2 linked regions of the Lepisosteus oculatus genome follow. The protein of the gene in region 1 purifies or fractionates together with the protein of each later gene. This does not show direct contact. Links are inferred from orthologs where the notes say so. Each region holds a gene or a part of one and is shown on either strand. Other genes may lie near its edges.

Region 1 (7,393 bases):
GCATCTGGAACAATGAGAGAATCACATAATTAAAAATCTAAGCATGTTACTTCATCTAAAATTATTACACAGACAATACAAGTAATGTAAAGTGAGTTCATTATCTAAAACAGATAAAAAGAGGGTGCCTAGAGAAAAAATGTATTCCAAAGTACTAAAACATACAGAATTATATGATTTTAATTAAAAACTGATACAGTACGTGACACGTCGACTAATAACACATATAACCATTTCTGAGTTATATGCGTATACAGTACATCAAATTGGGATAAAACTTAAACAGCCCCAACCTGACTGTAAAAGATGCGATAAAGCTCTGAGTCCAATCATCATCAGCTTTGAATGGCCATTGTGCAAAGACAGCATCTTCAGAATCTGCCTTTGTAAAAACACATTGTGAGAAAAATAAGAAAGACTGACATGCAACCTAAATAAAAACAGAAAGGCTTATCTTTTTGTATTTTTCAGCTGCTTCAAACAGTGTGCTAAAAGCAGACCCAATTAATGGCACAAACAAGAAAAAAATCACATCCTCTTGTTAACAAAGGCCTGTTAGCAGTTGTGGTTCTCAAAATTGCAGAGGAAGTGACTCAACATCTTATTGTAAAACTTGCAGACCTGCAACCTAGGTGTCTCCTTCCTTGTACTGTACATTAAAGAAAGAAAATTAAAAAAAGTTAAAGTTCATGTCATCCCAAACAAATTTTCCCCAAACACCCCAGTCACCTCCTTCCTTCATTAAGCATCTACTTAAGTAAACTAAACATTCAAGCTTGATTTATTTTTAATAAAACCCTGCAGGAACATAAATGCCGTGGACTGCGGTCATTTCAATTCCTTATTATCACCCAAGCCCGCAAACCTCTTCACATCTAGAAACACAAAACATAAACATGAAAGTTTACATCAGTTTATGAATTTGCAGAAGAGATAAACATGCATACTTACTGGTGTATTCCCAGTACTTCCCAGTCTTTTTCAACTTGTGGAGCTGATAACTTTTCCAAAGTAGAAGGGCAAACTTCCATTAGTCTGCAGAGCAATGACCATCCCACCTTAGGATCAAACCCATTCAGTTTTAGATCAGTACTGTTGATTTTTCATCAGAAAACAATTACTAAGACTCCAAAGCGTTCATCAGTTCTTAAAAGGCATTTCAGGCCATTTGGTATGGGATGTGTTCTCTGCCTTACTAAATAAAGTAAGAATGTATTATAACATCGAGCAGTAACACACCCTGATACCACTCATAAAATGCAATGAAAACTGCTTTTGGGTTAAATATTTAACTTAGGCTCTCTTCCTCCATTCCCAAGAACAAGAAGCCAGATGCTCAGGCATTCAAACTTAGATTCCTAAAGCTGTTCATGGACATGCTTCAAAAGCACTTGGAATTCCTGTAAGGCAAGTTTCCTATGTACAATAACCTCAGCGTCTTCCAGGTTGGCCCTATAACGTTCAATCACCCTTAATTAGTTCATAATCACAAAAATAAAAACTGTTGTATACATAATTTAAAACATTTATCAACCAAGCACTTTAACTTCCATGGGCACATTTCTTATAAATACATTTATAAGAAAAATATATAAGACATTTCTAAGACAGTATTACTAAAACTTGATACTATTAGAGTTGTTACAGTATGGAGAATTTCAATTTTAATGTCTCTGTACAGCAATCAGGATAAAACTCAACAACAACACTATTCAGAAGTATTAAGGTAAGAATTAATAAAAAGGGGACATTAAAACATTACCATTAATTAGAAAACAATAATGCATAAATAACTACTGTATATTTTATGGAAAAAGCTAACTAAACACCTTTTCCCCAGTGAACATTGCACTTTTTAAATAAACTCTTGCAATGAAAAATAGATTTTTTATTTTTCCCAAAATCGTATCATCTGGTGCTTGGTCTTAATATATTTTCTAAAACCACCACCATCGTTAAAATGGCATCAGTAAATAATACGCACTGACCTCTTGTACAGCATGACTGTCAATGTAAGAATCTAAGACCACCATTAAAGGCAGGTGAACGTCTTTATCTTCAAATAATTCTGTTGCTGAAAAAAATAGACAGTATTATCAGTAATTCCATTTTGAAGTAGATACGATGCTCAACGATAACTGATTTACAGTGATTTGCAACTATACTGTAGCTCGAGAAGACTTTATTTTTATAGCACAGAGTGTGAAGAGGCAGGAGTTAATCGTAGTTCTAAAAGTAAAATTAGTTTATTGTTCTATAATTCAAGTAGATCTGCCTAAAGTATGTTTTCTAAAGGACAACATCGATATAGTACTGTATCTACCATCTACTCACCACAGTCGCCAGCAAAAGTAAGGAAGAGTAAATCCTCAAGAATCTGAATAAGTGTATCCAGTTGCTTTCCTTCTTGGACATTTTTTAACCTCACAATTAATTTTTTAAGCTTTTCTTCTAGTTCCTCCTTATTGGCCATGTTTCACAAGTCACAATCTGTTGAATAAAAAAGAGGGCAAATATGATTACTTATGGAGCCATGTTGCCCGTAAAGTTGTTTTTCCACTGTGCTACAGTAAGTGCAACACACTGGTAAAGTGACATGCAATACAGTATGTGACAAACTTTTTCACACCGCAGTATTACATGACGTATGTAGCTAGGTTGAAAGAAAAAACATTGCAGGAAGTCCTCCTCATTCATAAACAAAACAGTTCAAGCTTTGAAGCAGATGAGTAACACAACGTATATCTTTTTATTTTTAATTAAATATAGAAGTTAAACATCGTTTCTGCTTCATTCGTTTTTAATAGCACTGCAATCACATGACTCTTCGTAGATGAAGGCTATCTGTTTTGTTTCCTCCATTGAAATATACAATACTGAACAATACAGAAGCTCTGTTCTGTGGTTCGACTTTGCAGGCTTTCTTGTTCAAAAATTAACTTTGCAAATGATGGCTTTTAACTTAAATCGCATTCAATTGCTCTACTTTTCTTTATCAGAATATTGTGAAATCTGAAACCTTTCCCCAAACATAAAGACGTAATAAAAACGAATTGCTTTACGGTAGAACGTCTGAGTAGTATTTTTGACAGGACCGCAGACGACAGTCGTACTTTCCTGTGTTATATTTTACTTATAAACAATTTAGATTAGATTAGGTAGCCTCGAAATATCACGTAGGAGTTTGCGAGACTTTCTAATGATCTAGTCAATGCGACTGAAAGTTTTACTACACAAGTGTACATTGATCCAGCCTGTATACCCATGATTTTAGAGTTATATAACTCTTCCTGTTGTATTTTCTACTTTTATTTGCAACCGAGTACATTTTGATGACATCTCACCATGGAAACTTTCCCTCTTTACTAGCGGTCACACCACCTACACAGCTTCAACTTCTTCATATTATTTCTGTAATAATACAGTTTAAGCAGTGTATCCCTTATATTTTTGTCAAATCTGTGTAGCTATTTCTGCTACTTCCACTTTCTCTATATTCAAACTAATTGCAAATGTCAAGCTAGTTCTCAATAACATTCAGGGAAACGCGAGTGTTTAAGAAGTGGTTACTAGAAAACAGGGAGCAAATAGGGCATGAATACTCAGACTGGGGTGAAGTAATTAGTCGAGTATCACGGGCATCTGTAGCAGGACCAGTGTTCTTCGTAAACTTTAGTGGAGTTTGCAGATGATGCCAAAATAGGGGGATTGGCAAAGATTGCAGAAGCGGCAAATGAAATACTGTACATAACGATTTAGTAAAAATAAAACACGACCGTGCACGTTGTGTTTAGTGTACACAAGTGCAGCGTATGGCATGCTGGTGGTAAAAATATATATATACTATAACTACAAACTATAAATAAATAAAACTATAAATACAAATATTCTAACTAAGAGGTTTAGGGAAAAGACTTAGGTGTTTATGTTTACACATCATAGGCATCTTCTAGGCAGTAAAGAGAAGAAATTAAAAAGACAAATAAAATACTAGGATATACAGTATAGTTAAAATGTAGAATTGAAGTATGTTATTGTAGCGCCCTCGCCTGCAGGTGCAGGACGGGAGTAGTGGTGGTCAGGGCAGGGACTAGGAGTGCCGCTGGCCAGTGCGGCAGACCAATGGCGGAACCGGTGTATACGGTCGCGAGATCGCCCGGATTTATGTAAATAGTTTCCTTGGTTTTGGACCCTTTTATACATGTACCCAATTATAACCCTATTCCGGTGTCACTGTACCCTAATTGATCCCAGTGTTTTGTAGTCCATCATCATGTTTTGTTGCACATCACCGCCTGCGTGCTACCGAACAAAGAACATATCTACTCTGTTAGATGCCTCATAAAGGCCAGGTCTATTCTCAAGGACCCCAGTCACCACAACCATAATCTGCTTTCTCTACTACTGAAAAAAAGAAGAAAGAGAACACAACGTTTCGGCCGTGGAGCCTTCTTCAGGTGTCACACATGGAATGGAATAAACCTATTACTTGTTCCTTTGCAGCCTACGCATGCTGACGCAGCTACCCACCTTTCTCTACTACTGTCTGGAAAACGATACCGAAGCATACAGACCAACAGATTTCAAAACAGCTTTTTCCCTCAGGCAATAAAACTGCTAAACTGCCAACCATGGCAGCCAGCAATTACCCAAACAACCACTGATAAATAGTCAGTCCACTTGAAACTGATAAGGTGTACCTGCGTTTTTTTTCTTTCCCTGACATCTCTGACCCCGCCATTAACACCAGCAGCACTGACAGCGTTATGAGCACCATCCCCCAGGCCAGGCTGACCATCACGGCTGACCAGGTGAAGAGGGAGCTGAAGAGGCTGCACCAGGGTAAAGCCACAGGACCAGATAACGTCTGTCCCAGAGTTCTGAGGGCTTGTGCTGATCAGCTGAGTGGACTGCTCCAGCGACTGTTCAACCTGAGCCTGCGCTTGGAGAGAGTCCCTGTGCTCTGGAAGACATCATGCCTGGTCCCGGTACCAAGGGAAGAGCGCCCCTCTGTCCTCAATGACTACAGACCAGTTGCACTGACTTCTCACGTAATGAAGACACTGGAGAGGCTGGTCTTATCCCACCTGAGACCCCTGGTTAGTTCACTGGACACCCTACAGTTCACCTACCAGCCCAGTGTTGGTGTGGAGGATGCAATCATCTACATGCTGCAAAGGGCCTACTCACACCTGGACAAGGCTGGCAATACTGTAAGGATCATGTTTTTCAACTTCTCCAGTGCCTTCAATACTATTCAGCCCTTACTTCTAAGGAGGAAACTGGAGGAGATGCAAGTCGGTGTGTCCATTATCTCATGGATCACTGACTATTGACAGGCAGACCACAGTCTGTGAGACTTCAGAACTGTGTGTCTGAACAGGTAGTAAGTAACACAGGGGCTCCCCAGGGGACAGTTCTTTCTCCATTCCTTTTCACCCTCTATACTTCAGACTTTAAATACAACTCAAAGTCGTGCCACCTGCAGAAGTTCTCAGATGGCTCTGCAATTGTGGAATGTATCAAGGGTGGGGAGGAGGAGGAGTACAGCGGACTGGTCAACAGCTTTGTGGAGTGGTGTGGGAAGAACCACCAGCAATTGAATGTAACAAAGATGAAGGAGCTGGTGGTAGATTTCAGGAGGAAAAGGGTCAAACCTACTCCTGCCCACATCCATGGGAGTGGCATGGAGATGGTGGACTCATACAAGTACCTGGGAGTGCACATCGACAATAGACTAGAATGGTCTAAGAACATCGAGGCCATTTACAAGAAGGGTCAGAGCCGACTTTACTTCTTGAGGAGTCTCAGGTCCTTCAATGTATGTAGTAAGATGCTACATATGTTCTATCAGTTGGTTGTGGCGAGCGCCATTTTCTACGTGGTGGTATGCTGGGGCTCTGAAATAAGAGCAGTGAATTCTAACAGGCTGAACAAGCTCATCAGGAGAGCAAGCTCTGTCATTGGGTCTGGCCTGAACCCCCTGGAGGTAGTGGGTGAGAGGAGAATGATGTCCAAACTAGAGGCCATCATGGACAACGTCTCCCATCCCCTCTATGACATGCTAGTAGAAATGAAGAGCACTTTCAGCAATAGACTGATCCATCCACAGTGCGACAGGGAGCGCTACAGGAGGTCATTCTTGCCTTCTGCCATAAGACTGTACAACGCATCCACCTTGCATCTGGGCAGTGGCAACATTGACACAGTGACCTGTTTCTGGACTGAACAGTAAACTGATACATCTGTTCTTTTTCTTTTTCCCGTTTACAACCATTTTGTGCAATATATGCCAGGGACCTGTGCAATACATTTATATTTATATTGTGCAATACGACTTTTTTGTGTACTGTTCTGTTCTGGTTTGTTCTTTGTGTGTTCTGTACTGAGGAACTCTTCTTAGTGCACTCACTGTACTGATTGTATTGTATGTATTGTATTATTATTATTATTATTATTATTATTATTATTATTATTATTATTATTATTATTATTATTATTATTATTTTATCATTCGTTACACTGTTGCTGTGTTGTCTGTGTTAAGCTGCTGTTGCGCTGCAATTTCCCTCACGGGATCAATAAAGTATCTATCTTCTATCCCTACCATATCTCCTTATGCTATTGTGTAAATCTTGTTAATTGTATAATTTATTGTATTCTACTTGTAACCTTAATTCGATCAACTTCTGTCCTATCTCTCCTTGCAAGCTTGTGGAAAAAGCATGTCATTGCTGACAACCCCCGCTGTATGCTGTATTGTTGTGTAATTGATAAATAAACCTTGATTGATTGATTTACATTGATTTTCCCTTCTTTAAGGGAGAGTGAGGGGGATTTTAATAAAAATCCAGAGTGAAAGCATAACATTTACCCCAAGTGTGTACACAGACCTGAAAAAATGCTTTATTCATGTAAGTAAACTGAAATAAGGTGAGTGACACATACAGTACTTTGAGATTAAATTAGATGTGGCATATGAGAAGTGATAAGCCCTCTAACACAATTTACATTCACCTTTTTTCTTCAGATATCATTAGGGGCATTAGAACCCACACAGTGAGTAATCACCCTCTTCTGCCCACACTAACACCTCTTCCAGTAGTATCCTTTGTTTTCCCAGAGGTCTTTTATCCAGGTGCTGACCAGGCTAATACCTGCTTAACTGCAGTGGGTTCCCAGTTGTTAGATGCAGGGTGATATGGCTGCTGGCAATACTGATATAATATATATGTATTACATCGGCATGCGAGCTTTAAAGAAACGAGGTTAAGTTACTATTACAGTAAAACGTAAAAGAGAAATATGGAAACATCATTTCGCCCTTGGAACTGAGATTTACATTTATACCGCTACATATTTTTCGTATACTCAGAAGACAGCTAATATTCAA
Region 2 (8,019 bases), on another chromosome or scaffold:
GGCGCAAACGAGAGGCTGTCCGGTGGACAATATCCAATCAAGCAAAGGATGCTGGAAAGACCAAAGGAGGTTTGACAGCTCGTGTCAATCACCCTGCGAGGGGCTGTCCCAGCGGCTGGCGAGTGTCCCGTCGCGGATTGAGAATCTGCAGCACACGCAGCTGCCCTCTCACCCAACAGCGACGCACTTCCTGTGCCCTTCCACGACAGCTCACCCCGCCACTGCACACCAGGCGGGGCAAGTGCTTTAAGAAGGGCAGGCGGGGGGGGGGGGTGGCGCGCGCAGGACCGGCGACTCACCTTTCATCTCTCCTTTGTTGTTGACGATGACCCCCGCGTTGTCCTCGAAGTACAGGAACACCCCATCTTTCCTCCGGTAGGACTTCCGCTGCCGTATCACCACTGCAGGATGCACTGCAACGAGCCGCAGAGGGAGGTCAGCGCACACCGCAAAGTCAACACGTCAGCGCGCGATCGCCATCCGGTGGCGGAGCCCAGGCGCGCAGCAGCAGTGGCGCCTGGGGCACCGGACTCAGCCTCCACTGGCTGAAGCAGCTGGGAGCCTAGCAGGATCCCTCTGAAGGGGGAGGTGTCAGATCAACACACTAACACCACAGGTACCACAAACTGGACGCTCTGCTATCCAGCGAAATTAGTGCGACAGTATGCGTGTACAGAAGGGAGGCGGCAGACTAGGGCCACTTCCAGGAACAAGCTGGGACAGCTGGACATCCACTGTCCGCAAACATCCCTGCAGTCTGGTGTCTGATCCCTTTGTACACATAACCCCCCTGTGACCACATGTACACAGTTGTGTTAATTGCTTTTAGTCAGCCTAAAAACTGCAGCCCCAAATATGTAATAACATAGTAGAACTGCCACCACTGGAATCTCTATGATCACGTAGCTGATACAGTAGGCATGTGTGCAGCATCAGCTACCTGATAGCAGCTCTCCAGGGGGAAGAGAATATGAATACATTTCTACAAATAATCTAACTCAAGAAGATCATCAACATATTTAAATAAGGAGGACTCAAGTGGTCAGACCCAACACCCTACAGCTAGGAAAACACTGTTCCTGACTGGCGCACACTATTCAGAGGCTCCACAGGCCCATGGATCACATTGGCATGAACAGGCACACTACAGAACCATCACCTTTCAGCAGTCTTCCACCGAGCAGCAACAGCTCTGGAACCCATCCTGTAAACTAGCAGCACTGTGCACATCTCAAGACAATGAGAAACTCTCCCGGTATTCCCAAGAAGCTAAACACTATCCAGCCTTATGTGCATCTGTGAGCTGCACACGGCTCTTGCTTACACATTTCAGCAGCCTAAAGTTCTACATGAAGACTTGCCCATTACCAGAGGTTAACCTCGGTAGGTCTGTTCTTCTTGGGTTTAAATATGGGAACCAGAAAGGGACTGATAATGTTTAGAATCCACCCAAATCGAAACTGAAATAATTACTAGAATACGCACAGATTACAAACCCAGCAAGAAACGCAACCAGTCTCGTCTCCTGGCTGTAACTGGAAGCTGCCCCCAGACCGAGAGAGAGGCAGCCTTCGCCTGTGCCGAGCCCCAGCCGCACTCACCCTTTTTCCTGAGCTCCGGCTTGCCCTTCTTCACCGTGGCCATGACCATGTCGCCCACACCGGCAGCGGGCAGCCGGTTCAGGCGCCCCTTGATGCCCTTCACAGAGATGATGTACAGGTTCTTGGCACCTGGAACAGACAGCGGGGCGGACAGTGAGCCGACAGCTCCGCGCTGGAAATCTGAGCCGGATTGTCCATCTCATGCTACGCGGAGAGGAGGGGGACAAGGGTGTCAGGAGAGAAGCTGAGTTTCAAGCCGGCAAGTGTCGCGCCGTGGATTGAGGACGAACAGCACGTTGCTGCCACCTCACCCATCAGCGGCGCTCTTCATCTCCCCTCCCTCGACAGCTCGCCGCGCCACTGCGCGCAGGCCAGGCGAGCGCTTTCGGGAGGGCTCGTCCCCGGTCAATCCCCAGCGAGCAGGACCCACACGGCTCGGTTCGGCACGGCTCACCTGTGTTGTCGGCGCAGTTGATGACGGCGCCCACCGGGAGGCCCAGCGAGATGCGGAACTTCGCGCCGGATGAACCACCGCGTCCTGCGGGACAGAGGCAGCAGAAGAAAGAGACTCGTTAACCTGAGGCACCAGGACCGGCCCGGCCCGCAGGTTCTACACGCGATCCTGCAAGAGCTTTCCACCTTCCGTTCTCAGCCGCTGAGCAGTGCAGCACTTCAGCTCCTGTCTGTACAGCCAGCACATCAGGAACGACACTACACGTTTGGACTTCAGCGCGTCTGCCTCTACAGTCCCGACTGCTCTACAGCACAGCAAGGCGAAGACGCGTCCTTCGTCATTTTAACCCACAAAACCGGCTGTAAAAAGAGGAGCGGGGCAGGAGCTCTCCGCCAGGCCGGCTCTGGGCCCGGAGCTCGGCCATCAGCCGCACGGAGCGCCAGCGAGCTCCTCCTCGGCTCCGGTGTTACTGCGCTCCCGGGGCTGCGGCTCAGGCCCGCGGACAGAGACAGTCCTTCGCACCGCAGCCCGTCTGCGGACACTCCGGACCCGCATGCGGTCACACTCGGACCCCAGTCCCAGCGCACGGCTACTCCCACAGCTGGGACCCGAGCGATAGCTCGGGACAAAACCACAACATTTCAGCCGGAGGCCCAACATGGCTTCTCCCGAGTGTCACGACTGCCTGGCTCTGGCAATCAATTTTTTATTTGTCTCATTACAGATACACGTAAAATACCAAGCGGCTGTGAACAGTTAATTAATCTCTTTATTAAACCTAATGACTGTGAAACACCAAATACCCCAGGAATTAAGGATGACTTCGGATTTCTCATTCTCAGTCTCAGCGATCTCTTACCTCTCTTAGACATTTTGGTTCAGGGAAAGAGGGAGGAGCTTCCAACCCTGCTGGGATATATCGCCAGGGTTTGGCCTCAGACCCCGGTCATGTGACATGGGAACAGTTCCGGTTTGTCCCCCACACGTGTTGAAGCAAACAATTTGCGTCACGCCACAGTCACGTGAAGAGGGATAACGTATTATTAACTCAAATGAGGTTATAGTATCATTATTAAATAAAATATTGATTTTAAATGCTTAGTTATATTTTTACTTAATTCCATTTTCTTTCTTCCACATCCACTAAATATTTGTAACATATAAAGCAGTTTTATATGACCAGTGTTATGGTAATTTCCAATTCTGTTTTCGAAAGAATAATAATTTACGTTTCATTTTAAACTTTTCAAAAGATTTAACGATAAAAACCTATGATCCCGAAATGCAGGCGTGGAAATTAGAATTAAGTTTACAAAGCGCTATGAGAAATCTGTCAACGCATCAACAAATAAATTCCTAACTCGCTATCTGTAAAGATGTGCATTAAGAGACAGAAATAGCCCTGTTCTACAAATGCGTAGCTCAAGCAGCCCTGTTCTCCCAAACCTTTCTGTGAGATTAATTATTTTTCTATTGATAACCTCCTCATGATGTGAAAACGTCAGAAATGTAATACTGAATTTTCACCATCAGGTAGCGCCTAGCAGGACAGACGCGGTTGCTTCCTTAGTTAAAAAAGACTGACGTCTGTCGGCCAACTGGGAAATTACCTGGAATATATAAGAAATATTGCAGATTAAATTATATATATAGTACGAGAAGTGGTACATAAAACATTTAAAGAAAACATTACGGAATAGACCGAGCAGCTTCGCGACTTTACGTCCAACTTTATTCTTGCAGTAGCGACAAGTGGCCAGCAGGTGGGGGAGTTGCGCCACTAGTGCGCTTAATAATGAAAGTCTGGATAAGCTGCCGTCAAACCTAAGGCAGGAGGAGGGCGCTGCGCCGAGGGAAGGTTGCTGGAGGAAGGGATTTGGTTTGTAGCTGTCAACTGGCTGTGACCTGCATGGACAGCCAGTCTGGAGATGGAGAGGAGAGGAGGAGCAGTATCATTTCACAGATACCAGAATAGCCACAGTCACAACACAATTAAGAGACACAGCCCATATTAGGCTCATCAGTCTGATATTCTAATGAGTAATGCTGACTGGCAGCCGCCCACAGTGCCTACACAGCAGCAGGAGGCCTGTCATTACCGCAGGCTGATTACGGTGCTCGATGCCGATTGGCAAAGGTGCCAGGATGAGAAGCAGGGTAAGCCAGCCCTGTCAGTGCTCCAGCAGCACGTTGCCCCTGTGCCAGCCTGTCTCTGGCAGCAGCCCTCCAAGCTGGCGAGGGGGGTCAGACTCTGCTGGCAGTCTGGGTCCTGCAGTGCCAGTGCTGTGGCCAGCACAGCAATCGCAGCGCCTGAACGTTTAGTCCAACTCATGAACAGTATATCCACTGCTTGAATTTGCGTTAGAAAAGGGATACTTCTGCCAAATGTCCGGTCTTCTTCAGAGACCTCTCTGTACCATATGAGAGAAGATCTCTCTGCTGACGTCCTCTTGCACACCCCCAGGTGCCCCCCGCTGCGGCTCTCCGGAGGGCTGTGGCCCTGCGGCACCCCTGGCAGCAGGGAAACGCCAGCCTGGCGCTCTGGTGCTTGAGAACCACAGCCCTGCAGACGTCCCCTCCTCACCTGCCACCCCCGGCTGGAGAAGCAGAAAGGCTTCAGCTGTTTCAATTAAACCAGCAAGTAGTTAAATTAGGAAATAAAGACCTCTGCAGACCTCCCTCACCTGGTTCTGCACATCTATTTCCTGGACAAGAACTGTTCCTGTACTAAAAAAAAAACAGTCATTTTGAGTATTTAACCCTTTCAACTGAGATCTTAGGCACTTTCTCTTTGCTTAATAGACTGGGGTTATTTTGCACATTTTTTTCCATCAAAACATACTCATAGATTGAGCTGAATTAATGGCGCAGTTATGGTCAGGGTTATGGCTGGCCAGCCTCTCCTCTCCGACACCATGGGGCTCCGTGTACTCCAGGGCAGCGACCAGACTGTCTGTCTGCCCTGAGGAATCCCTGACATCCTCACTGCCCGCTCCACCCCGCACCCTGCTCTTTCATCTTCATCTGAAACTCCTGACGGTCTCAAAACATCCTGTTTGCCTCCAGACAGGCTGCAACCTGTCAGCTCCCCAACCCCCCCAATTCAGGCAACGGCATCAACACTCATGCAAATGCTGCAGAGAAGCACCCTGCTCACACTCCTTCCCTCAGAAGTGGCATCAGGAGGAAAACAACAGCAGGAAGCAGCATCAGTGTGTGGCCCTGCAGCAAGACAGTGACAGTGTGTGGCCCTGCAGCAAGACAGCGTCAGTGTGATTGAGGAATGAGCTCGGCAGCGAAGGGCCCTGAGCTCCCCTCCCCTTGTTTACGGTCCCTGCAGTCACCTGAAATCTCCAAACCTCCTTTAAGAACTAATTCATTTATATCATTAAAAAGAATTGCAGGAATATCAACAGTTTAAATATAAAGTCGACAGCTTTGAAAGCATGCTTTTTTTCCCAGTTTTCACATTTAAAGTCAGACTTTGATTCTGAAATTCTCTGATCAGTGTGGGTCCAGCTCTCTGTTTTTGTCATTTTTGTTGATTACTTGGATCTTGTTTCCTGGGCTGTGCAGTGATGTGAAGCGACCTGTCTGTTTTCACAGGATAAAAAACAAACTGTCCTTTTAATTCCTTTCCTCAATCACCAGCAGGTCTCTCCGGTCTTCTGGGCTGCTGAAGAACAGGCACTGGCGGTTAGATACACAGCAGGGGCTTCGACATGGTTTTGCTCCAGTACAAAGTTTCCCATCCTGTTTCCTGAATGTGACTGTAAAGAGTTTAAATGTGCACATTCAGAAAGAGGCAGGACTTAGGGGAAGGAGACATTTTTTTTTCTTTAGGTAAGTTTAATAGTTTTCTCTGTGGTTATAGAACTGTGACCAGCCTTTAAAAAGCCCCTGCTACGTTGAATGTGAATTGGGCGTGAAGAGAGAAGAGTGACCCCTGCAGGGCAGGAGCAGAGATGCACGCCTGACAGAAGTGAGTACAAAGAGGAGCAGAACCTTGAAAGACAGGAGCCGTGAAACTGCACGCCTGCTGTGCAGGGGCCTGGGGTTGGGCACCTGGAGTCCCTGGCTCTTTAAAAAGTCCCGCAGGTAAAACTGGGCTGCACATGGGCTTGTGCTGCTAAGCCAGAATAAACCTGGGTTCACGCAGACAGGTGCTGAATGAAGGGATCAGAGCTGGTCTATCCGAGACTTCCCCACCTCAGCAGCAGCCTCTGTCTTCGGAAAACACTGTCTCAGTTCAAAGATTAGTTGCTGTACTTCACCTGCTCTTAAGGTATGCTTTCATATGGCTGCCTGGTGCCAAAAACACAGTATCAGCCCACTTATCTTGCAGGCGGGGGAAGGGGGGGGCTGTGAGGCTCAGGTAAGTTCCCTGCTGGAGCCTGAGTGCAGGGGCTCGTCTCTGCCTGCGCTGGGAGGGGGGCGGCTCCTTCATTCATGGCTGTTTCTTGTCTTAATGGAGGCAGGCGTGACGTCCGCGGAGAGCAGAGCCCGTTTTCCCATGAAAACCTGTCGGCACAAACATGTCAGGCTGCTGCTCACATGAACAAAATCACCTCAAACACGTCTTCAGGCAGCAGGCTAGGGCTGGGGGCGTCGGCTCCGGCTGCACGTGACCCAGCCACACAGGGGCCTGATTCAACCAGCCGACTCCGCCGCACTGTTCATCCTCTTAGTGACAAACACATCCCCTTCAAAGGTTAATGTCTCTGCTCAACACAGTAAAAACAGAGTAAAGCCCAGAGGAATCATGGTAAAAACACAGGGAGCAGGGTATATAATGTGAGAAACTATGGCAAAGCAAAGTAAACGTTTTGGTATGAAACCGATACACCTAATGGAAAACTGCAGAAACACCCAATCAGTTTGCTTGGATAATTATCACAGGTCAGCACAACAAATCCCTCTGCAAGAAAAGGGGAACATTCGAATTGCCTGAGACTCTCAGATTCGCAGTTTTATATTTAGTCTTTGGGTGGTTCCTCTCATGCTGCATGGAGTTTCTGTGGTTTTCCACTCAGGACAGAAAAGAGCACCTGAGTCAGGTGTGCTGTGACCAGGCCCCCAGAGGGCTGCGCCCTCTCCCCTAATCTCTTAATGACACAACAGGCAGGAAGAGGAAATTAAATGCCTGACTGGAGCTCAAGGAAGAAGCTCGGCTGCTAAGGACAGGGTGTGGGTGAGGAGGATTCGTCTAATGAGGGGTCTGTCCTCTGAAAAACAGCCTCACAGCACAGGCCGAGCCAACAGCGCACAGGAGCCACACAGCAGCTGGTCTGGGTTTGTCCCGGTTTTTGTCAGGGGTGACTTTAATGCCCCTCCCAGGGTCTGTAAAATAAAATCTATTTAGAAGTCAAAAGAAATGACATTTTTCCTTTTTGTTTCAATTTTTGGTTGAAGAACAGAATAGTGCAATGAGGTATGTTTCTAAAATGAGCCCCCCCCCAGACATTCTGAGGTCATTGTCTAAGGCGTTGGCTGTTTAGAGTTGAGCCCCAATCCTGCTTGGTCACCATCCAGGCGACAGCATCTAGTCAGATGTGAAGGTGAGACCTGAACCTTAGCAATATCTCCGTAGTAAATCTGCACTGCATTTTGCAATTTGCCCAGCAGTGAGTATTGTCTATACTTTCCAACCTCTTATATTACATGCATGACATAGTTTAGGATTAGGGTATGTGTGTAGTTTTGGTTTAAGAAGCATGTACAGATTCCCCAGTAGTCATGGACAGTCCTAGATCAGTTGAACAGCAGGCTCTGTAAACACAAAAAAGTAAGATAGCAGGGCCTGTTTTTCTGCACCTGGGCTGCAGAATCCCTGTGTTTAATGGCAGAATTTCACAACAAGTTTGCATCCCTCAACACTTCATTACTCAGACTAGACAACCAAATACACACCCCTGCTGAACAGGCAGTCACAGGTGTAGTACTGGGCTCATACACACACAGACA

The links.
Region 2: the proteins of lrrk2 (region 1) and rpl23 purify together in Homo sapiens (affinity purification with mass spectrometry; 3 studies listed by BioGRID and IntAct, with this or other methods). This does not show direct contact. The link is inferred for Lepisosteus oculatus from reciprocal best matches to the Homo sapiens genes LRRK2 and RPL23.

What each region holds. Positions count from the first base shown.
Region 1 is NC_090702.1:37,348,560-37,355,952, reverse strand, and holds the start of lrrk2 (leucine-rich repeat serine/threonine-protein kinase 2), read right to left. Parts: upstream 3,020-7,393; 5' UTR 2,474-3,019; coding exon 2,335-2,473; intron 2,075-2,334; coding exon 1,989-2,074; intron 1,059-1,988; coding exon 952-1,058; intron 383-951; coding exon 294-382; intron 5-293; coding exon 1-4. UniProt on the Homo sapiens protein: Serine/threonine-protein kinase which phosphorylates a broad range of proteins involved in multiple processes such as neuronal plasticity, innate immunity, autophagy, and vesicle trafficking.
Region 2 is NC_090723.1:10,331,289-10,339,307, forward strand, and holds the start of rpl23 (large ribosomal subunit protein uL14), read right to left. Parts: upstream 3,017-8,019; 5' UTR 2,928-3,016; coding exon 2,915-2,927; intron 2,140-2,914; coding exon 2,056-2,139; intron 1,731-2,055; coding exon 1,602-1,730; intron 414-1,601; coding exon 300-413; intron 1-299.